Linked DNA regions of Cricetulus griseus. The protein of the gene in region 1 binds, or shares a complex with, the protein of each later gene. Links are inferred from orthologs where the notes say so. Each region holds a gene or a part of one and is shown in the gene's direction. Other genes may lie near its edges. The genes, in order: Polr2h, Gtf2e2, Gtf2h4 and Polr1h.

Region 1 (6,027 bases):
TGGTGGGGTACCTGCCTAGATCCAGCTAGAACAAAGGTTCCAATTCTCACACCCATTCCTGCTTCCTGCATCAACCCTCAAGCTTCGGTCCCCAGGGTGACAAGCCACCTAAGCCAGCCACCTTTCCCAAAAGTTCGACTGAGGGGTTCTTGTCAATGCTGGACTTTGAGTCTTTAAAGGCAGGGGGTAGGTTTGGATTTGATTACTTCCCTGCAGTCTTTATGTCCAGCTTAATGCTGTGGCATAGTAGGGACACAGGGAAGGTGTAGAATGTGGATAGGCATTTGGAGAAAGTTCACAGGTATCGAGAAAGGGTACTGGGGTGCTGTAACTTGGTAAGTGGAAAAAACAAAATCGTGTCAGCCGAAGGGAGTAAGGGGAAGGACACCTGGGCCAAACACCTGGTGTCATTGTCCTCTCCAGGCCACCAGTCTCAGCCAGAAACCAGCAAGCAGCTTTCAAACACCCTGAACCTATAGCCTGTCGGATCCCGAACCTCAGTTTCCACAGCTGAGGAAGGCTGAGGCCGGGCTTGGGTAGGCCGCCTGTGCTCACACTTCCTAGGGCAACCTGCAGCAGTGGTGCCATAGCGCACCCCTTAGGTTTCACTTACCAGGGTCTGCTCATACTGCAGCGCCCGAGGCTCCATCCCTTCCCCCGCCGCCGCCGCCGCCGCCGCGGCCGTGGCGGCCGCCATCTCGGTGCACTGTCCTCTTGCCTCCCTTGGCTTCTCGGGCTCTGGCCTTGACTCAGCTCCCGGCCCGCTGAGCCCGCGCCCGCACCCGTCCCGTCCCCTCAGCCCCGGCGGCCGAGTGCAGAGTGCGACGGTCCCCGGGCGCGCGCCGCAGGCTCAGCCTCTCGCTAGCGTCCCCTCCTTGGCGGGCGGGCCGAGGGCGGTGCCCTGCTTGCTGCTCCGCCCTGGCCCATCTGCAGGGGCGTCCGGTCGGGCTGGGGTCTGCATTGGAGCCGCCTCCTGGCCTCCGGAGAAGCGGCAGGGGGCGCTTGCAACGCGATCTTGCACCCCTTCTCTGGGGAGGCCGGGGGCTGACCCGGCCCCGAGAGGGTGCGGGGCCGGACGGGGGCGGGTCCGCTGGCACGTGGAGGGGACGGGCTCTCGGGCGGCTGCAGCGTTGTGCGGGAGGGGCTGAGGATGTAGTGACTCCAGGGCTGGGGCAGGGGGCTGCTGACGAGCTATCTCGGGCTCTCCAGGCCAGACTCGACTGGGGCAGCCTCTGCTTCGCGTTTGCTGGCGGCTCAGACGGGTCTGGGAGGATTCCTGAGAGCCCGCTCCCTTATCGCCTCCCTTCCTCCTTTCTTCTTTTCCTCCGGGTTCCCCCGGGAAGGTGCACCTGGAACTGCTAGGCCTGGAGATCGGGGCGGAGGTGGAGGTGGGAGGGGACGGGAAGGGGTGAGGCCCGAGGGAAGGGAGCTATTGGTGCGGGGGAGGCTGCTCCTGGGAGGCGGGCGTGGGGGAGCAGAGGTCGCTCCTCCCAGGCATCGCTTAAAGGGGGAACTTGAGTAGCTGCTGACGCCTCGAGGAAGCGGCCCAGTGAAGCTCTACGTTGTCTTTCGGGATCCTTGGAAGGATAAGAACAGTGTGGCGTTGGCACAAAGAGGATGGACAGCGTTAGGTTGGTGCCACTGGAGAGGACGGTGCCCAGAAATCCGTGTAGAAAGAACAGCATCAGGATGAAGACTCATTCAGCAAACAGAGGGTGGTGCTCAAGGGGAGCGTACGGTGCCCAGTACGGGGGCTGCGATGAAAGGAGATAGCACCTGGAAAGAGCGCGCTGCGAGCTGTCGTTTCCCAGGGAAAGGCCAGTGTCGGGTGGAAGCGCACTGGATCAGTGTCCAGAAGAGGGTAGTGTAGTGGGGTGACAGGCAGTACCAAGTTCAATTGGCAGTGTTCTAGGGGATCAGAGTTAGTGCCAAGCAGGGCCAAGGGAAGACCGGCGTGGCGAGGAGGTGAAGCCCCAGGCGAGGGCACAATGCGGGCTTTCCTTTCCCTGACAGTGACATCACGGCAAATTCCCAAACCGGACGGACCCGGCTCGGGTGACGTCTAGCTGGTCAGAGCCAGCTCGGACCAGCGTGGGGAACCTTGGTGGCCGTCCGAGGGGCTGGGCACTGCGTCCCGCTGGGCGGGCGCTCTGCGGGTGGAGTTCGGCTTCACCCTCCTGCAGCACGGACTGTGCCCTCGGCGGGCACGCGGACCGCAGGGAAGGGCTAGGGCCGGGCTCCCTCTGGGCCAAGGATCAAGGTTCCTGGCTGGGTCCGGTCCCGGAGCCTTCCAAGCATCGGGATCCGGGGTCTGAAGAGGGCGCCCTAGAGCCGGGCGCATCGCGGTACCCGCCGGGGGTGGGACTTAGTCTGTCCCCGCCTTGGGCGGAGTCACCGCGCTTTGAGACTCGCCCACAAGGTCCGAGCCACTCCGAGGTGGCCTTTCCCGGCGGAAGTGAAGGAGCCCCGAGGGGAGGCAGCGGAAGTGGCTGCGTTGCTGAAGCCTGTGCGCATGCGCCCTGCGGCTGGTTGCCGCTTTTTGGGGCGGTACTCTGCCCTGTCTTCTTTTCTCCACGTGAGGGGGTGCGCGAATTCCCAGTGGTGGCCGCGCGCTCCGCACCTCTGCAGTTCTCGTGCCCCTTACGATGGCGGGCATCCTGTTCGAGGATATTTTTGATGTGAAAGACATTGACCCAGAAGGCAAGAAATTTGACCGAGGTAAGGTGTGTAGGGGAGGTGAGGAAGAGGCCAAACATGCCCACCCACCCCAAGTGGCCCGTCCCACCCTCTCGGTACCTCCCTCAGGAAACAGTGTTTTTCATAATGAGAAACTTGGGACAGCTTTTCCTATGATGTTTGCGGTGTCTGGTGCCTCGGTGGCCCTTGGCTTTGGGGTTGGGAAAGCCCTGGACACCTTTCTGACTCCTTATTCAGTATTACGTGCTGTATGTACCGTGCGCCTCTCTCGCACACTTAAGTATTGTAGTAAGAAGTGATGGTGCCCGATCTATTTTGTTACTTAAGGCCGTGCAGCGAGTTACCTCCCTGTCTTCCTAACCCATAGTTTTGTATTGCCCCAAGAATTGTTAGCCCTTTGCCGAGTCCTCTATAAATTTCATGCAGCTGACTGCTTGGTGTATTCATTTCCCAGTAATCCGGAAGTTGTTTCTTCTCAGTGTCACTTTACCTGGAGACAGACCCCCCCCCCCCCAATACAGATTCTCTTTGTAGCTCTGGCTGTCTTGGAACTTGCTTTGTAGACCAGACTGGCCTTGAACTCAGAGATCCACCTGCCTCTGCCTCCCAAGTGCTGGGATTAAAGGCGTGCCCCCCCCATTTTTAAAGACAGGTGTCAGTTCTCAATACACCCTGCCTATTCCCTCCGCAGAGTGCCTACTAGGAAGTGGGGATCTCTGGACTAATGACTATCTTGTTCAGAGTTGAGTTTAGTCTAAATCATCCAGGTGTGCTTAGAGCCTAGAGACGGGTTGCTGCCAGAGAAGTTCTGCTTCTTTCTTGGGATCCTGACACTTGCTGAGGTGTTTACTCCCTTTCTTCTCTGAATCTGATTTGGATTGCACTCTGTGTCTGTGTCCCAGAGCAAGGCTAATGGCTGTGGACTAGTTGAAAGATTTGTTCTCCTGCATTCGACCCCGACTCTGTTGCCTGTAATTATGTCTGTCGCTCTTTCCCAGTATCTCGGCTGCACTGTGAGAGTGAATCTTTCAAGATGGACCTCATCTTAGACGTGAACATTCAGATTTACCCAGTGGACTTGGGTAAGTGTCCAACACAGGAGCTAGCAAGTGAATTTTTTTGTTTGTTTGTTTGTTTTTCGAGACAGGTTTTCTCTATGGCTTTGGAGGCTGTCCTGGAACTAGCTCTTGTAGAACAGGCTGGTCTCGAACTCACAGAGATCCGCTTGCCTCTGCCTCCTGAGTACTGGGATTAAAAGCATGTGCTGCCAACGACTGGCTTTAGCAAGTGATTTTTATCTTTGGTTTCCGCTTGATGCTCTTTTCAGGTGACAAGTTCCGATTGGTCATAGCTAGTACTTTGTATGAAGATGGTACCTTGGATGATGGTGAATACAACCCCACAGATGACAGGCCTTCCAGGTGAGGCGGTGGTAAAGGAGGGACTAAATAGATAAGTAGTACATAGAATGGTCTTTATTTTACTGCTAGAAAAAGACATTACTGCACTTAGAATTCACACAACCAGAACTGGGTGTGATGGTTTGTGTCTGTAATTCCAGAACTCGGGAGATGAGGCAGGAGGATGAGGAGTTCAAGAACACCATTGGCTGCACATCAAATCTGAGACCAACCTGGGCTGGAGACCCTGTCTCTAAAAAATTTGAAAAAAATTTCAAACAACTGGCTTGATTACTTAGTGAGAGCAGTGAGTGGAAGCTTGTGAACTGCAGTTGTTTATTTATTTGAGACAGGGTCTCACTTTGTAGTCCTGGTTGGCCTGGACTATGTAGACCAAGCTGGTCTCAAACTCACAGATGACATCCACCTCCTCTGCCTCCTCAGTGTTGGAATTAAAGGTATGTACCACCACACCCTGCAAATGTAGCTTTTTTAAGGCCTAGAAAATGATTACATAGTAACCTAGATTTTGGTGTGACAGAAAGACTGTGGAGTATTGGGTCTGGTGGTACACACACTTAATCCCAGCATTTAGGAGGCAGAGGCAGGAGACCTCTGTGAGTTTGAGGCTAGCCTGGTCTACATAGCCAGTTAGGACAGCCATGACTATATACTGAACTTTTACTTCTCAGCTCCACTACTTCCATCTTCCATTTCCTTATCAATAAAGTACAGACAGTCATTTCTAGTTCACTGAATTGATGTGAAAGCCAAATAAGGTTGCGCTTCCATGGCATTTGTTGTTATCAGTTTCTATTTTAATTATTTCTATCTTTTTGGTTTTTCGAGACAAGGTTTCTTTGTGTGGCCGTGACTATCCTGGAACTTACTCTGTAGACTGTCAGGCTGGCCGAAAACTCACAGGCCTCTGTCTCTGCCTCTGCCTCTGATTCCTGAGTGCTGGGATTGTGCCACCATGCCTGGCTCAGTTTCCATTTTTAAATGTCTCTTACACTATTGATTGCTGTGAAAAGTAACTTTGCCTATTGTTTGTAGGGCGGACCAGTTTGAGTATGTCATGTATGGGAAAGTATATAGGATTGAGGGGGATGAGACCTCAACCGAAGCGGCGACACGTCTGTAAGTAACATTGTCTGGCTGTTAATAATCCAACCTCCCTGTTGTGAAATTGGGTCATGCTTCTCCTTCTGTATCAGGTTCTTTGTTTTTTCTAGTACCCGAAGCCGGGGTGGAAGAATTTGTTTTGGGAACAGTTTCTAGTCTGAATTTTGATTACTTACATCACCTGCTATCAGGATTTCAAGGCCCTGTGGCCCACAGGAGACTTTGGTAATCTTGCTTCATGAGGGACAACAGAGAACATCTTGGGGGATCACAAGCAGCATTTCATGACTAGGCCTTTTTATTTTTTACTTGTGTATGTGTTGCTACTCTGTAACCCAGACCTTGGTTCTTTAGTTTCCCTGCCTAATTTTTCTTTTTCTTTAAAATTGGTTTTAAATGCCGGGCAGTGGTGGCACACGCCTTTAATCCCAGCACTCGGGAGGCAGAGACTAGTTCCAGGACAGGCTCCAAAGCCACAGAGAAACCCTGTCTTGAAAAACCAAAACAAAATTGATTTTAAAACAATATGGTTGTTAGAATCTTGAAGCAGAAAATTAATGTGAAAAAGAACAAAAGTCACCTAGGAGGACGTTTTTTACAATTTAAATAGCTGGTGTGGTGCACACCTTTAATCCCAGCACCTGGGAAGTAGAGGCAGGTAGATCTCTGTGAGTTCAAGGTCAGCTGGTTTACAGAGTAAGTTCTAGGACAGCCAGAGATAGTGAGACCCTGTTTTGAGAAAACAAAAACAAGCGTTGGAGTGGTCTAGCTGTCTTTTTTCTTTTCTTTTGTTTACTTTTCCCTT
Region 2 (4,490 bases), on another chromosome or scaffold:
TATGTTCTGCTGTAGAAAGTTTTACTTATTTTGCCACATGCTATTATAAGTGATGCTTGGTGTCATGCATACATATACTCATTTTGTTTGAGGCAGGGTCTTTTTACATAGCCCTTGCTATCCTGGGAACTCACAGAGATCCACCTGCTTCTGTCTCTTGAGTGTTGGGATTAAAGCTGTGTGCCCATGCCCTGCTTACATATGCCCATTTTCTTGAAGAGGAGTTTTACTGGGTCAAAAGATGTATGTGAACAGATCTTAATATCTTGTAAAATGTTCATGGTGAACTTTGTAGCATTTGTAAGAAAATAACCTGCTTCTTTGTATTTCATCAATAGTCCGTTGTCAGTGTTATCTACCTACATTCCCACCTGTACTAGTTACTTTTCTCATTTCTGTGACTAAATATCTCACAGCAGCTAAAAGCAGTTTAGGAAGGATTTATTTTGGTTCACAAATTAAGATAGAAAGACACAGACAGGCAGACAGACAGACAAAGGCTATCATGTCAGGGAGGCATTGCACCAGGACTTAGAGACAGCTTGTCACATTGTGACTGTAGCCAGCAAACAGAAAAAGGTGCTAGTGACAGCTGGTTTTGTTACTCAGCCTGGGAACCTCAGCCCTTCAAGATAAGGAACCATCTACATTCAGAGTGTATCTTACTTCTAGCTAATCTTAATTGCTAGCTTGACACACTGAGAAAGGGGCACTTCAGTCTGAGAAAATGCATGTCTGTAGGGCATTTTCTTGATTGCTAATTGGTGTAGGAGAGATTAGCCTGATGTGAGTAGTATCATCCTTGGAGCCTAGGTGGTGGTCCTGGGTTCTATAAGAAAGCTAGTTGAACACAAGTTGCAGGGAGCAAGCTAGTAAGCAGAGTTTTCCTGCGTTAGCTTCCCATAGTGTTGGACTGTAACCTGTAAGCAGAAATAAAAATTTCCTCCTACTTGGTCAGTGATTTTGTTTTTGTTTTTGTTTTTTGACACAGGGTTTCTCTGTGTAGCTTTGGAGCCTATCCTGGCACTCACTCTGGAGACCAGGCTGGCCTCTAACTCACAGAGATCCTCCTGCCTCTGCCTCCCGAGTGCTGAGATTGAAGGTGTGCGGCATCAATGCCCGGCAAGAAAAATGTTTTATTTAAAAACTTGCTGGCCATGGTTGATGCCCGTAATTCCAGCACAGGGGAGGTGGAGGAAGGAGGATTGACAGCTTTAGTAAAAATGAACAGGACCAGGGCTGGAGAGATGGCTCAGAGATTAAGAACACTAGTTGGTCTTCCAGAGGTCCTGAGTTCAATTCCCAGCAACCACAAAGTAGCTCACAGCCATCTGTAATGAGATCAGGTGCCCTCTTCTGTCTGGCCTTCCAGGATACATGTAGGCAGAACACTGTATACATAATAAATTAAAAGAAAAAAAAAAGAGAGAGCTCTTAAAAACTGTGTGTGTCTGTGTCTCTGTCTGTCTTTAATCCATGTTGAGTTGACTATTACCTATGGTATGAGATAACCTGCCTTCCTTTTCTACTTGTAGATTCAAGTAGATTTTTCTGGTACACTTTATACTTTTTGCCTACATGTATATCTGCATACACTTCTCTGCCTGGTGCCCACACAAGCCAGAAAAGGGCTTTTTCCTGAAACTAGAGTAAAGAGATGGTTGTGAACCACCATATGGGTACTGAGGAAGCCAACCTGACTCCTGGAAGAGCAGCAGTTACTTTTAACTGCTGAGCCATCTCTCTAGCAACCCTTATATTTCCTTCTCCCATTTTCTGTTTTTACAGACTGTTTCACATATTGAAAACTAACTAAGCTTGGCGATGGTAGTGCACACCTTTAATTCCATCATTCAGAGGCAGAGGCAGATGGATCTGAGTTCAATGCCAATTTGGTCTACAGAGCTAGTTCAGGACAGTCAGGGACACACACACAGAAACCCTGTCTTGGGGCAGAGGGGAAGAAAGAAAAGAAAAGCCAACTGAGATATTTATTTTAACTCATGTTAAGTTAGTCCTTTCTATATTCTCTTTTGTAGGTTGTTTCTGTGTTTTTGTGCTGCCTTGATTACTATAACTGTGATGTAGTTTGTGGTCATGTTGCCCGCAGCTGTTACTCTTAGTTTGAGATTGTATCCCAGTCTTTTGTTAAGTGTCACAGATTGAGTGAGTTATACAGAAAAGAGGTGTATTTGGGGGCCTTCTTCCTGGTAGAGTTCAGGAGTGTGTTGAAGGTGTGGTAATATACCAAACAGTAGCTGAACTGGCTGTATGAACTCTGACCCTTGAGATAATGCATTAGTTAGTATGCATGGATTCACATGGGTACAGCCTTAGTCACCATTTGTTTTGTAATAAAAGTTGAAAAAAAATATCTTTTTTTATGTGCATGGGTATTTCGCTTGCATGTATTTCTGTGCACTGCATGTGAGTGAGCAAGGCCATGGAAGCCAGAAGAGGACATCTGAACCCCTAGAATTTGAGTTATAGAAGGTTGTAAGCCACCATGTGCATATTGGGGATCAAATCATGGGTTCCCCGCAAGAATAGTCTTAGCCACTGAGCTGTCATATAGCTTGCAGATGAAGTGTGTGGTTAATGAACTGGCAAGGAAGGAAGAGGCATGTTGGTGTAGGGGTTGGCATAGTTGTCTGGTCTGCAGCCTCTGAGCTGTGGTAAACAGGAAGCTTTGTGAACCACCTCAGTGTTTGGGAGCCACCCTTTCTCAGTTCCCAGAGTACACACTGTAAGACTTGGCCATCACTCTGTGTGTGTGTGTGTGTGTGTGTGTGTGTGTGTGTGTGTGTGTGTGTGTGTGTGTAAGGAAAGGCTGACAAGGCTCTTAATGAGCTTGGTTATTAAAGCTGTCTTTAGGAGAAGAATTTAAAGTGCAAAGGATTTTTGTATTCGTGCGTGTCAAATACATGAATGACATGGAGGCTAGACACCCATCTTTCTACTTTGTTTCATATGCGTATTTCTCAGCCCACCCCAGCTGTTTTGCTTTGGTTTTCCTTTTTGTGACTTACCAGTTCCTTGGTTAGTAGATTTAAAAAAAAGAAAAAAAATGTAAGCAAACAAGCATGTCACCTTCATATAAAGCTTTGGTGCCCCGTCTCCCCAAATGCTTCTAACTCTCAGTACAGAGGTGGAATACATTGCGCTCAGGGCCTTGAACCAGTATTTGAATAATTTGTGCCACAGGGAGGGAGCTGATTTGGGAAGAGTGTTAATTGCTTCTCTTCCCATGGAATATAGGAGAAGCTTCAGCCACACCATCCTTCTCTTACTGTTTCTGAAGAATAGAGCACACTGGTGGCTGTCCAGCTGCATTTCAGATCAGAGACCCCTTCTGTTGCTGTGTCCAGCACTGGAATAGTCTTGCCTTCCCTCCCCTCGTTCTTTTTTTGAGACTGTATCTCACTATGTATCCTGTCTGCCTTGAATTTGCTGCTACCCTGGCTGTCCTTGAATTCACAGAGGTCAGCCTGCTCTGCCTCCTGACTGCTACAATTATAGGTATTTGTTTGTTTGTTTGTTTTTTTAGTGAAATCTCAGTTGTATGGATTTAGGCCCGATAATATTCAAAGTGAATTTAGATCACAAGATACAGTGGTTTATAAAAATCCATGATAAAGTAACTACTGTCTTGTTGGTTTAGAATTCCAGAAACTGTGGAGGAGCGTCACTGTGGATTCAATGGATGAGGAGAAAATTGAAGACTATCTCAAGCGACAGGGTATTTCTTCTATGCAGGAATCTGGACCAAAGAAAGTGGTATGTCATCTTTATAAAAGCAGTTTCGTCACTTCTTCACTGCTTCTCCTCTTCCTCTGACAAGTGAGGAAGGGATTCCCTCTACTAGGTTTTCTCGGAGCCTAATGCATTCATTGACTTGCCAGATACAGCTGGGCATATCTGATGTATTGAGGCCAGTGAACCATCCATGGTGATGTCCCAGCTTGGGAGAGCGAGCTTTCTTTCTTTCTTTCTTTCTTTCTTTCTTTCTTTCTTTCTTTCTTTCTTTCTTTCTTTCTTTCTTTCTGGTTTTCGAGACAGGGTTTCTCTGTGGCTTTGGAGGCTGTCCTGGAACGAACTGTTGTAGACCAGGCTGGTCTCAAACTCACAGAGATCCGCCTGCCTCTGCCTTCTGAGTGCTGGGATTAAAGGTGTGGGCCACCAACACCCAGCTGGGAGAGCTTTCTTATCCTCCAGCCTGTCTAGCAGTGCAACTTGAGTCCAGTCAGGGACTAACATTTCTGGCCTCTCATCCCATACATACGTTCCCTGGTTTCAAAAAGGAGCCACATCTTCATCTGGTGCTCTTTCTTAGACCTCCATTGTCCCCTTCATACCAATGCCTGGATGGAGCTGTCATATCCTGATAATACTGAATTGTCATTTTTTAGGAACCGTTTACATTTGTCATTCTAGTCCTTAAATTGTACTCATAGTGGATATTAAAGTGAAGGCTAGTAAACCCCCTGCAT
Region 3 (4,294 bases), on another chromosome or scaffold:
AATCGCCCTTCTGGGTGGGTATGTAGTTTCCCTCTCTTCCTGAGCTAGGCCAGGGGAACTGCTGACTACAGGGATGGGGGGGGGGAGCTCCTTCAAAAGTGCATTGGACCAGGTGTAGGTGTAGGGTGTAGAAAGTGTCCCCTTCTCATGGCCTGTGGGGAAGCAGGAAGCAGACAGGGCTCCTTACTCCTGCCCATTCTGGCCACAGGGGCAAGGCCTGGTCTGATGACACAAGTCAGCTGGGACCAGACAAGCATGCCCGGGACGTCCCCTCACTTGACAAGTATGCTGAGGAGCGTTGGGAGGTGAGGATCCGGCCCCTGTGTGCCTCCGCTGGGCCCCCATTCCCGGGAGCCCTTGAGACCCCTGTCTGATCCTTTCTTCTCTAGGTGGTCCTGCACTTCATGGTGGGCTCTCCCAGTGCAGCTGTCAGCCAGGACCTGGCTCAGCTCCTCAGCCAGGCTGGGCTCATGAAAAGGTGAGGAGGGGAGGGCACAGCCACTCGGGTCTCAAATAAAGTGGGTGCCTGGGGTTAGGAGGGAGTGAAGGGAGTTGGGTAGGGAAAGAGGTTTGAATAGGTGTAACCAGAAACGGGTAGCCCTTCTGTGCATGTCGCTACCGTCGCCTCTCTCCATTTCTAGTGCTGAACCTGGAGAGCCACCTTGTATCACTTCTGCTGGCTTCCAGTTCCTGCTGCTGGACACGTCGGCCCAGCTCTGGTACTTCATGCTGCAGTATCTGCAGACCGCCCAGGTACGAGCCAGGGCCTAGGGCAGTGTGCCCGATCTTCTCAGGTCCCACTGAGTCACAACCACCCCAGACTCTGCCCGTCACTGCCTCATCCCCTCTCTCATGTCTCCTTTTGCTCTGCCCCTTTCTCCTCAGAGTCGGGGCATGGACCTGGTAGAGATTCTCTCTTTCCTCTTCCAGCTCAGCTTCTCTACTTTGGGCAAGGTGAGTAGGGGGGTGGAGGACAGGCAGGTAAAGAGACGTCATGGAGAGATAGAATGATCACAGAACTACCTGAGAAGGCAAAAAAAGGGGGAGGGGTGCAGGGGGCTGGGCGGGGAGTGGGAGGACGAGTCACAGCCCCCAGCTGGCCATCTCTTCCCCCAGGACTACTCTGTAGAGGGTATGAGTGATTCTTTGTTGAACTTCCTACAACACCTGCGTGAGTTCGGGCTTGTTTTCCAGAGGAAGGTACGCACACCCAGCCACCTGGCTTTGAGGAGAGTGGGGTGTTGGGGTGCAGCAGAAAGCCCTTGCCAGGCCCGAGTGCTTGGGTCATTTGAGGGGGGGAGTTAAAGGTTGGTGGTTTTGCACTGGGGGATCTGATGTCTAAGAGGAAGCTGTCAGGATGGTGACCTGAGAGAGGACTGTATTTCCCCGTGTCCTTCCAGAGGAAGTCCCGGCGTTACTACCCCACACGCCTGGCCATCAATCTCTCATCCGGTGTCTCTGGGGCCGGGGGCAGTGTGCATCAGCCAGGCTTCATTGTCGTGGAGACCAATTACCGACTGTATGCCTATACTGGTGAGGCTGGAGGTTATGGCCGTGTGTGTGTGTGTGTGTGTGTGTGTGTGTGTGTGTGTGTGTGTGTGTGTGTGGTTTAGGAGCCCTCTGGTATCTCTTCTAACACCTGAGGGCAGGGCTAGAGGAAGGCAGGCATGGGCAGCCTCCTCACGGCTCTTCACCCCTGGGCCAGAGTCGGAGCTACAGATTGCGCTCATCGCACTTTTCTCTGAGATGCTCTACCGGTTCCCCAACATGGTGGTGGCACAGGTGACCCGGGAGAGTGTGCAGCAGGCCATCGCCAGCGGCATCACAGCCCAGCAGGTATCCCTACTTGAAGTGGAGGTCAAGGTGGGAGGAGGTACCCCCGCCATGGGAGCATAGCCTCAGGTCTGTCAGGTCCCCGTGTCTAGGCAAATACAGGAGATGCTGTCGCAGTGGCATTCGGTGACTGCCCTGATGGCTTTCTGCATCCTTGTGTCTTCCCAGATCATCCATTTCCTAAGGACCAGGGCCCATCCGGTGATGCTCAAACAGGTATGGATGGGTACCAGGATGCTGGAGGCTGGCAGCCTGGGCACCCAGCAAGAAGAGGATGGGTGAGAGCGGGTCAGCCAACCCACAGAGACTGCTTTAGGCACTTGCCCTGGGTCCTATAGCTCCGCCCCTTGTCCGCCCGCAGACTCCTGTGCTGCCTCCCACCATTACAGACCAGATCCGGCTGTGGGAGCTGGAAAGGGACAGACTTCGTTTCACGGAAGGTGAGTGGCCTCTGCTGACCTCCTAATCTTGGTCACTGACTAAAGAGGTAAGGTCAGCAACTTGGCCGCGATGAGTGAGAAGGGTCTTGTGCATTTTTTATTCCCTTCCTCCACCCCCACCCCGAGAGGGGGAGAGAAAAGCCCGTCCTTTACTGTGATATATCGGTAGCAGGAACTATGTCCCAAATCGGTGCGGTTTGGATCAAACTAGCCAGGTGAGGGTAGGAGGCAGGGAAATCCAGTCATCTCCCCGGGTAGGTTTGCATGGTTTTTTCTTGTGGTATTCTGTTGTCTTTTCGAACGTCTGGATGCCACGGGTGTTAAGGTTATCCACAGTGATCCGTAGAGAATCCGTTCTTAAAACTGTGGCCTGCTGCCCCAGCGGAGACGCCGCCCAGAGGGGAGGGGCCATGGCCACCGCAGCCCCTCTCACCTCCTGCCCGCCCACCCGACCCCAGGCGTCCTGTATAACCAGTTCCTGTCGCAAGTGGACTTTGAACTGCTGCTGGCCCACGCGCGGGAGCTGGGCGTGCTGGTGTTCGAGAACTCGGCCAAGCGGCTGATGGTGGTGACGCCGGCCGGGCACAGCGACGTCAAGCGCTTTTGGAAGCGGCAGAAGCACAGCTCCTGAGCCGGACCGGCGGACGGGCGAGCGAGCGAGCGAGCGGGCTGGCAGCTTCCCAACTCAGGCGTATTTTGTTTACACACCGGGACATTTCTTGTTTAATAAAATTAACGGAAAAAAAAAATAAGCGGTTCCAGACACCTGCACGCGTTTTCCCATCCGAGGCTGTGGGACCCGGGGAGCCAGTGTCTTGTGCGCACGCGCCGGCGTGTTCCCGCCCCCATGCGCGTGCGCACAGACGGCGGCGTCCCTGCTCACACGCAGGAAGGATCCGCCGCGGAGGTCCAGTTAGGGCCGTGTCGTGGAGGTTTGCGGGGTTCCCTGGTTCCCGATCCCCGGCCTTGTCTTCCGCGTCAGCGCGGGGGTCTCAGTGGCTGCAGAAGGCTGTTGACACCATGCGCTCCGCCCCTAGGCGGGAGGACACAGAGCAGGGGATCCAGCCGGTGGGAGTGAGGCAGCGTGACCTCCCGCACCCCGCGTCCTCCTGAAGCCGACCCCGACCCCGACCCCGACTGCTTCCCAAACACTCCCGATGCCTCATTTACCTCTGTCCCCTCTCCGGCCACCGCTCTGGGCGCTGAGGCCCGCCCGGGGGCTCTGCAAGTCCCAGCAACTTTGTACCCAGCCAGAGCTCCAAGGCTCACCCCTCGCGCGGAGGAACCGTGAAGCCAAACAGAAGCGCCTGCGGGAGAAGCAGGCGGCCCTGGAGGCCGGGCTAGCTGAGAGGAGCAAGGTCAGGGGTCAGCCCTTGGGTCTTCAAGACTTGGGAAGGGGCTGAAGGAGACTGGTGTACTGGGAATTGCAAAGCACACACACACATTTCCGCCTTCCTACAGTGTGTACTGGGAATTGCAAAACACGCACACACACACACACACACACAAACGCACACACACACACACACACATTTCCGCCTTCCTACAGTGTGTACTGGGAATTGCAAAACACGCACACACACACACAAACGCACACACACACACACACAAACGCACACACACACACACACAAACGCACACGCACACACACCATTTCCGCCTTCCTACAGTCACCTGCAGTGCCCTCGAAAGCCTGGAGTCACAAGGAGGTAGTATTGTATGAAATCCCCACCGAGCCAGGTGAAAAGAAAGGTACGGGTTTTTTGTTTTTGTTTTATTTTATTGCTCTTTGGCCTGCTGAAATGCAGTTCAGTAGTGGATCTCTTGTGTTTGTACAGATGTTTCTGGGCCCCTGCCTCCTGCTTACAGTCCCCGATATGTTGAGGCGGCCTGGTACCAGTGGTGGGTGCGAGAGGGCTTCTTCAAGCCAGAGTATCAGGTTAGTGCTGGGCCTATGAGGTCGCTAGGACCGATAAGCAGCCCCCCCAACGTGGTGGGCATGGGTCAGCTTCACAGCCGAC
Region 4 (5,829 bases), on another chromosome or scaffold:
TTAGAACATGGGTTTGGGGCCCTGGAGGGATGGCTCAGTGGTTTGAGCACTGGCTGCTCTTGCAGACAACCCACATTCAATTACCAGCACCTACACAATGGTTCACAGCCACCTGTTACCTGTTTCACAGATCTGATGTCCTCTTCTCACCTCCACAGGGACCATGTACACACATGGCAAACAGACATACATGAAGGCAAAACAGTCATACAATACAAGTAAATAAGTATGTGAAATTTAAAAAGTTGTTTTTAAAATTAACATACTAGTTAATTATACTCTGATTTTGCTGCCATCTGATGTAATGTTCCCCCCCCCTTTCATCTCTTATACTATTAATTTGAGGGTTTTCTTTTTCATTGTTTTTGATACAGAGTCTCAAGCTGGCTTGGAACTTACTATGTAGCCCAAGCTAGCCTTGAACTTCCAACAATTCTCTTGCCTCCACCTCTTGAGTATGTAGGTTTTACCATTATGCCCAGACCTATTAACTATGAGTATATAACCACAATGGAATGGGAATATAGCAAGGTATAGGAGCAGGCTTGTTAAGTGACTGAGCAACAAACATGTCCTGGAGAAAATCCTGCACATGAACTAGAAACATAAGGATAGAATTGTTATTGCTCTTTTTTTCTTTGTAAAAGCATAACTCCAAGTTGAGAAAAAAAATCAATAGTGCAAATTATGTGAACAGACCAGGTAATTTGTTTTTAGCACATTCATTTTAAGTTCTATATATCTTCAAGGATGAATTTAAAAACATCAATGAATAAAAGTTCATCCCCACAATGTAACTGCAAATAGTACCACTTAGAAATACATTCTTGGATGCCGGGAGGTGGCTATGAGTGGGAGTACATGAAGCTTTCTGGAGTATGGTGATGTTCCACTTTTCAGCCTGAGTTGTTACGGGGCTTTACTACGAAGCCCACTGTCTTCTGGCTCCAAATGATCCTGTCTAAGCTCTGGGATTACAGGCATTTACCAACCTACCAAGCTTAAAGAAAATGTTTTCTCTCATGCCTCCTGATCTGAGGTCCTAGGCTAGGGGTTTCCTCTAGGACTTCATAATCCTGCATCCTGCTTGGTCCTTTCCTTCCCATAGCTGGAAAATGATGTCCTTGCTCTCAGATCATTTCTCCAGGAATTGGTTCTCACCATTCCATTCTGACTCCTAAGTCTAGCATTTTCACTCTCTTCACTTACTAGAGCAGTGGTTCTCAACCTTCTTGATGCTGTGACCCTTTAGACAGCTCTGGATATTCATGTGGGTGTTTCTGCATGGGCATGAACTCATGTGGAGACTGATAGTGAAGGGACCAGCTTCCCTTTCAGCAGCCATAACAGCCGAACACATGCTTGCCATAACCTTGTCTTGGTCACTTAGAGGTCAGATGCCTGCCTAGTGACAAGGAACCAATCAGAAGTTAGTCACTAGAAAGTCAGATGCCTGCCTCGAGACAAGGAACCAATCAGAAGTTAGCTGGTGGCGCTATACTTTATGACCCAGGGTGTGCTTTATGGATAAGCACTCAGCAATGACGCACAAAGCATAGCAACCACCCTGGGAGGGCCTATGGGCCATAACAACCAGTTGGCCAATCAACACAGGGCAAGCCCTCCAAGGCTGGAGGCACACCAATAGTGAGCCTGTGCATACCCCTAGACACTCCCCTTACGCTGCCCTGTAAGATCTCTTGGGAGACCCTAGGAGCTGTCTTTTGCGAGCCATCTGCCACGGCGGGTGGGTAAAAGACCCGAGCTAACATGGGGTTAGCTTGTTAAATTACAATAAAGCCTCATGCAGTTTGCATCAAGCTCTCGAATCCGCCTGGTGATTGGGGTGACCGAGAATGTGGCCTGGGACCCCGGATACCTGAGTTTTCCGGGGGGTCTAACATTTGGGGGCTCGTCCGCGATTTGCGACCACCCTTCACCTGAATGGATTCGATCTTGGAGGTAAGATGATTCGAGCTCGCAACTTATATGTTCAATGTTATATGTTTGCTTGTTTTTGTTGGTTTGGTGCCACTTGAAATTGCTCTTTTGTTGATCTGAGCCTGCGCAGGACTCGTGATTTGTAATTTGGACTTCAGGGGGAAATAGACATATTTCAAAGTCCCGTCCTGGACAAAAGTCCGAGGGCTATTTGAATTGAACCATAGGGTAAGCAGACGTGCACAGAAATAGACGTATTTCTGGAATCCTTGGTTCCGCCCTGGATGAAGTCCAAGGGTTGTTTGTAATTTTGGTTTGGGGCACCATTTCTTTGCCACAGGGTTTGTCCTGTCTGATGTCCTGTTTTGCTGTTGGTGTCTGTTAAGCCTAGAGGATTGGAATGGGCTGGGTGACTGAACAGTTGAGCAACAGGTTTGTTATCTGTTATCTGATCTGTTGCAGCCCACACCCTAACCGTCTGCTTGTGTGTCAATTTTACTATTTCTGTTAATTTTGTGGATATGGAGGTCCTATGTTGGGGTTTCTGGCGACATCTGTGAGTAGGCCTACAAGAATTGTTTAAGGCGGAAGTTCGGGCGGCAGCCTTCCGAAATCTATAGGGGAGACTTGGTTTCGAACCAAGTTGATCTCCACGGGGCTAGCCATCTGAAATTCCGAATAGGACCCTAGTCTGTGTTAAACATCTCTTTCTGTCCCTACTGCCCATGCACATGGAATGCATGGGTCAGGGGTCTTTTCTTGATGCTCTGAGCACATGATGCCACCTCAACTGTGATCAGCAGATGCGCCCGGAGGACAGACTGCTGCTCTGAGGACACCCAGGAGGTACGAACGGAGGCCAAGGACTTGGATCCTCCTCAGTTAGTGATGATTGTAGCCGCTGGGTTCTGCAGCCCATCTTCCGTCGCCATTGCCTTATAAGCGGCGCGGGCGGATTGGGTTGGCGTCTGTTCTTTCCTGTCTATTCTGTGTTATCATCATTGGTTTTCAATTCAGGATCCACCACACCACCCCCTTTCTATCCCCACCTGCGGGTCTGTGAGGCATGCCAAGTGGGGCTGTTTCTGCCCCAGCTGCCATCCTGCCTGCCAAGGGAGTTTCCCTGCTCTGAGGGAACATGGCTGCAAGGCCCGCCATCTGCCTGGCTGCTCGGCCTTCTCTGTGCTCCACACACATGGTATGCAGGGGGACCGAGGGGGTCTTTATCCCATTATCCCACCCCTGCATTGGCCAAGGGTCTGGGGTTACCACCAACACCCCCACCCCAGGTCTCTGCCTTGAGCACATGGAGCTGGGGCGTATGAACTTATCTGGCCTGATCCGGACTTCTAAAAAAAAAAAAAGGCCTTAAAGTTATTAAAAGTTATTAAAAACTGTAAAAGGGACTTTGATAAAAATTTTTACATTGACTGAGAAATGAGAGAAAATGTAGGAGACTTAAATAATAAAGAGAAAAAGGAAAAAGAAAAATTTGTCTAAGAATGTCTAAGAAAATCAGAGGAAAGAACTATAAAAAGTTATAGAAAGTTAAAGCAAGTCATAGAAGGTCAGAAAAGAGATTATTAAAAGAGAAAAATGTAAACTGTTTGCTATGGTTTCTCATGTCAACAAATAGTAAATTTTAAAAATGGTAATATAAGTTAAAATTTTAACCATATTAAGCTAATTCTGTTTTTAAAAAGTCCTGTTTATTTCTCAAGTAATTTATGTATACTTGTTTTAAAATGTTCTTTTTCCTGGTATAACCTAAGTTCTGTTACAAGCATGTTAAGCAAAGGGTGCAAGTTATGGCCATTTTGTAACCAGCCACATGGCAAACTGGTCACATGGCTGACTGGCAGCCATTTTGCTGAAGTTGAAAAAAGATACTTAAACCGCCATCCTGACTAAAGATGACCGCGTGGAAATTAGAGGTTCCATCTTAGAAACAAGCTTTTCAGTTAAGATTTAAAGTGTTAATGCTTCTATATATTACAGAAAGATATTAAGGGAATTTAAATTTCTTTTTAAAACCAGTTTTTTAAATGTTTATTTTTATTAATGTTTGTACTTAAAGAGCTTCAATTTAAAATTATTTTTAAGCAAAGCCTGACAATGTAAAATTCTTGTTTTATAAAAGCTGCTAATCTATTATAAGATGTTTATCTTTTCAGAAGTTAAGTTTAGGGTGTTGGTGGCACACGCCTTTAATCCCAGCACTCCAGAGGCAGAGGCAGATGGATCTTTTTGAGTTCAAGGCCTGCCTGGTCCAGCATATTGAATTCCAGGACAGGGTCCAAAGCCACAGAAAAACCCTGTCTCATTTGAGCAAGCAGCTAAAATGTGTACTTGTAGCTACTGTTTAAGGACTATAATGTAACCCTATGCAGTCTTAAATTCAGCTGTGCTAAGTTTCAAATATTTTACTAAGTTAAAACCAGTTACAGTCAGGCTGAAAATTAATTACAGAAATGAGACCTCACCTAGCCACCTGTATGTTTCTTGTGTGCTTAAGGTGAAAGACCCCTGCCCCTTAGCCCTTTCTTTCTCAAGTTTGTCTCCTCTTCCTCCTGTCGGCGGCTTCCCCGATCCCCACCCCCGGCGGCTTCCACTTCCCCCGCCACCAGCCGCACGCCCAGCCCGAGAACGAGCACCAGGTGGGCTGGCCCGAGAACGAGCACCAGATGGGCTGGCCCGAGAACGAGCACCAGGTGGGCCGGCACGAGGGCAAACACCAAGTGAGCCGGCCTGGAGCCCGGCCCCTGAGCCCCCGCCCGATGAGAAACACTCCGTCCCAAGGTCTCCGCCCCCAAGGTCAGCCATCTGGACGCGGAGGGAGGGGGAATTGAGTCTGTTGTACCAATGGGAATAGCTCTGTACAATGCCTCATTAGAATTATCCAATAGAATCCCTGCTCCTAGCTTGCGCCTTTTTCCCTATATAAGGACCCCTTTCCCTTGGCTCGGGGCGCTTAGCCACACAGAAGCTAAGTCGCCCCGGGTACTCGTGTCTCCAATAAAGCCTCTTGCTTTTGCATCCAAGTTCGTGGCCTCGCTGATTCCTGGGTGCGGGTCTCCTTCTACGAAAGTACCTCTTCGGGGGTCTTTCAAAGGCAAGCAACTAAAACAGACAAACAGACCTCTAATGCTTCAGAGATCTTCAGAATATGGCATTTAAATTGTTATCTTTAAAGTTTATAATGTCAGACAGACTGTCAGATCCTGACAGTGACCCAAAGTCTCCAAAGAAGATTATGAGGCACCTCAGTCCTGCACCTGGACCAGTGAGCGAGATGCTCAGATGTGATACCTGCCGCCTGCCAGGACCTAGCCGAGACTGTGGACAAAGCTGGACACTGGAAAATTGATTGCACCCTCTTTGCCTAGACAAAACAAGGTCAGTCTTTTCCATGTCCCTCTTCCACAGAGAGGAAAAAAACCTCTCACCTTATAAGCCTGGCAAAGATTGCTGTTCTTTGAGACAGCTGCCTCCAATGGTAATGGAAAAACTGAAGGCACCAGCTTCCCTTTTGGCAGCCATAACGGCCAAACACGTGCTTCTATGACCTTGTCCTAGACACTAGAAAGTCAGATGCCTGCCTTGTGACAAGGAACCAATCAGAAGTTAGCTGGTGGCGCTATGCTTTATGACCCTGGGTGTGCTTTACTGACAAGCGCACAGCGATGACGAGGAGAGCATAGCAACCACCCTGGGAGGGCCTATGGGCCATAACAACCAGTTGACCAATCAACACAGGGCAAGCCCTCCAAGCCTGGAGGCACACCGATCTTGAGCCTTTGCATACCCCTAGACACTCCCCTTATGCTTCCCTATAAAGATCTGTATGCAGCAGTTTCAAACTGTCTTTGCTAGCCATCCGACATGGCG

Evidence for each region.
Region 2: Polr2h (region 1) and Gtf2e2 share a complex: the UniProt entries of both Homo sapiens proteins name them as parts of the TBP-based Pol II pre-initiation complex. The link is inferred for Cricetulus griseus from reciprocal best matches to the Homo sapiens genes POLR2H and GTF2E2.
Region 3: Polr2h (region 1) and Gtf2h4 share a complex: the UniProt entries of both Homo sapiens proteins name them as parts of the TBP-based Pol II pre-initiation complex. The link is inferred for Cricetulus griseus from reciprocal best matches to the Homo sapiens genes POLR2H and GTF2H4.
Region 4: Polr2h (region 1) and Polr1h share a complex: the UniProt entries of both Homo sapiens proteins name them as parts of the pol I pre-initiation complex. The link is inferred for Cricetulus griseus from reciprocal best matches to the Homo sapiens genes POLR2H and POLR1H.

The regions. Positions count from the first base shown.
Region 1 is NC_048597.1:67,931,233-67,937,259, reverse strand, and holds the start of Polr2h (DNA-directed RNA polymerases I, II, and III subunit RPABC3), read left to right. Parts: upstream 1-2,303; 5' UTR 2,304-2,645; coding exon 2,646-2,718; intron 2,719-3,695; coding exon 3,696-3,779; intron 3,780-4,024; coding exon 4,025-4,118; intron 4,119-5,153; coding exon 5,154-5,237; intron 5,238-6,027. Other genes in the region: Clcn2 (chloride channel protein 2), read right to left, coding at 614-697. UniProt on the Homo sapiens protein: DNA-dependent RNA polymerase catalyzes the transcription of DNA into RNA using the four ribonucleoside triphosphates as substrates.
Region 2 is NW_023276807.1:51,042,717-51,047,206, reverse strand, and holds part of Gtf2e2 (transcription initiation factor IIE subunit beta), read left to right. Parts: intron 1-3,661; coding exon 3,662-3,777; intron 3,778-4,490. UniProt on the Homo sapiens protein: Recruits TFIIH to the initiation complex and stimulates the RNA polymerase II C-terminal domain kinase and DNA-dependent ATPase activities of TFIIH. Both TFIIH and TFIIE are required for promoter clearance by RNA polymerase.
Region 3 is NW_023276806.1:229,574,021-229,578,314, reverse strand, and holds the end of Gtf2h4 (general transcription factor IIH subunit 4), read left to right. Parts: coding exon 1-18; intron 19-208; coding exon 209-305; intron 306-389; coding exon 390-478; intron 479-641; coding exon 642-753; intron 754-885; coding exon 886-954; intron 955-1,116; coding exon 1,117-1,200; intron 1,201-1,400; coding exon 1,401-1,533; intron 1,534-1,705; coding exon 1,706-1,836; intron 1,837-2,001; coding exon 2,002-2,049; intron 2,050-2,194; coding exon 2,195-2,273; intron 2,274-2,731; coding exon 2,732-2,904; 3' UTR 2,905-3,025; downstream 3,026-4,294. Other genes in the region: Vars2 (valine--tRNA ligase, mitochondrial), read left to right, coding at 3,431-3,631, 3,944-4,025, 4,112-4,212. UniProt on the Homo sapiens protein: Component of the general transcription and DNA repair factor IIH (TFIIH) core complex, which is involved in general and transcription-coupled nucleotide excision repair (NER) of damaged DNA and, when complexed to CAK, in RNA transcription by RNA polymerase II.
Region 4 is NW_023276806.1:228,751,534-228,757,362, forward strand, and holds the start of Polr1h (DNA-directed RNA polymerase I subunit RPA12), read left to right. Parts: upstream 1-1,919; 5' UTR 1,920-1,962; intron 1,963-5,829. UniProt on the Homo sapiens protein: Core component of RNA polymerase I (Pol I), a DNA-dependent RNA polymerase which synthesizes ribosomal RNA precursors using the four ribonucleoside triphosphates as substrates. Can mediate Pol I proofreading of the nascent RNA transcript.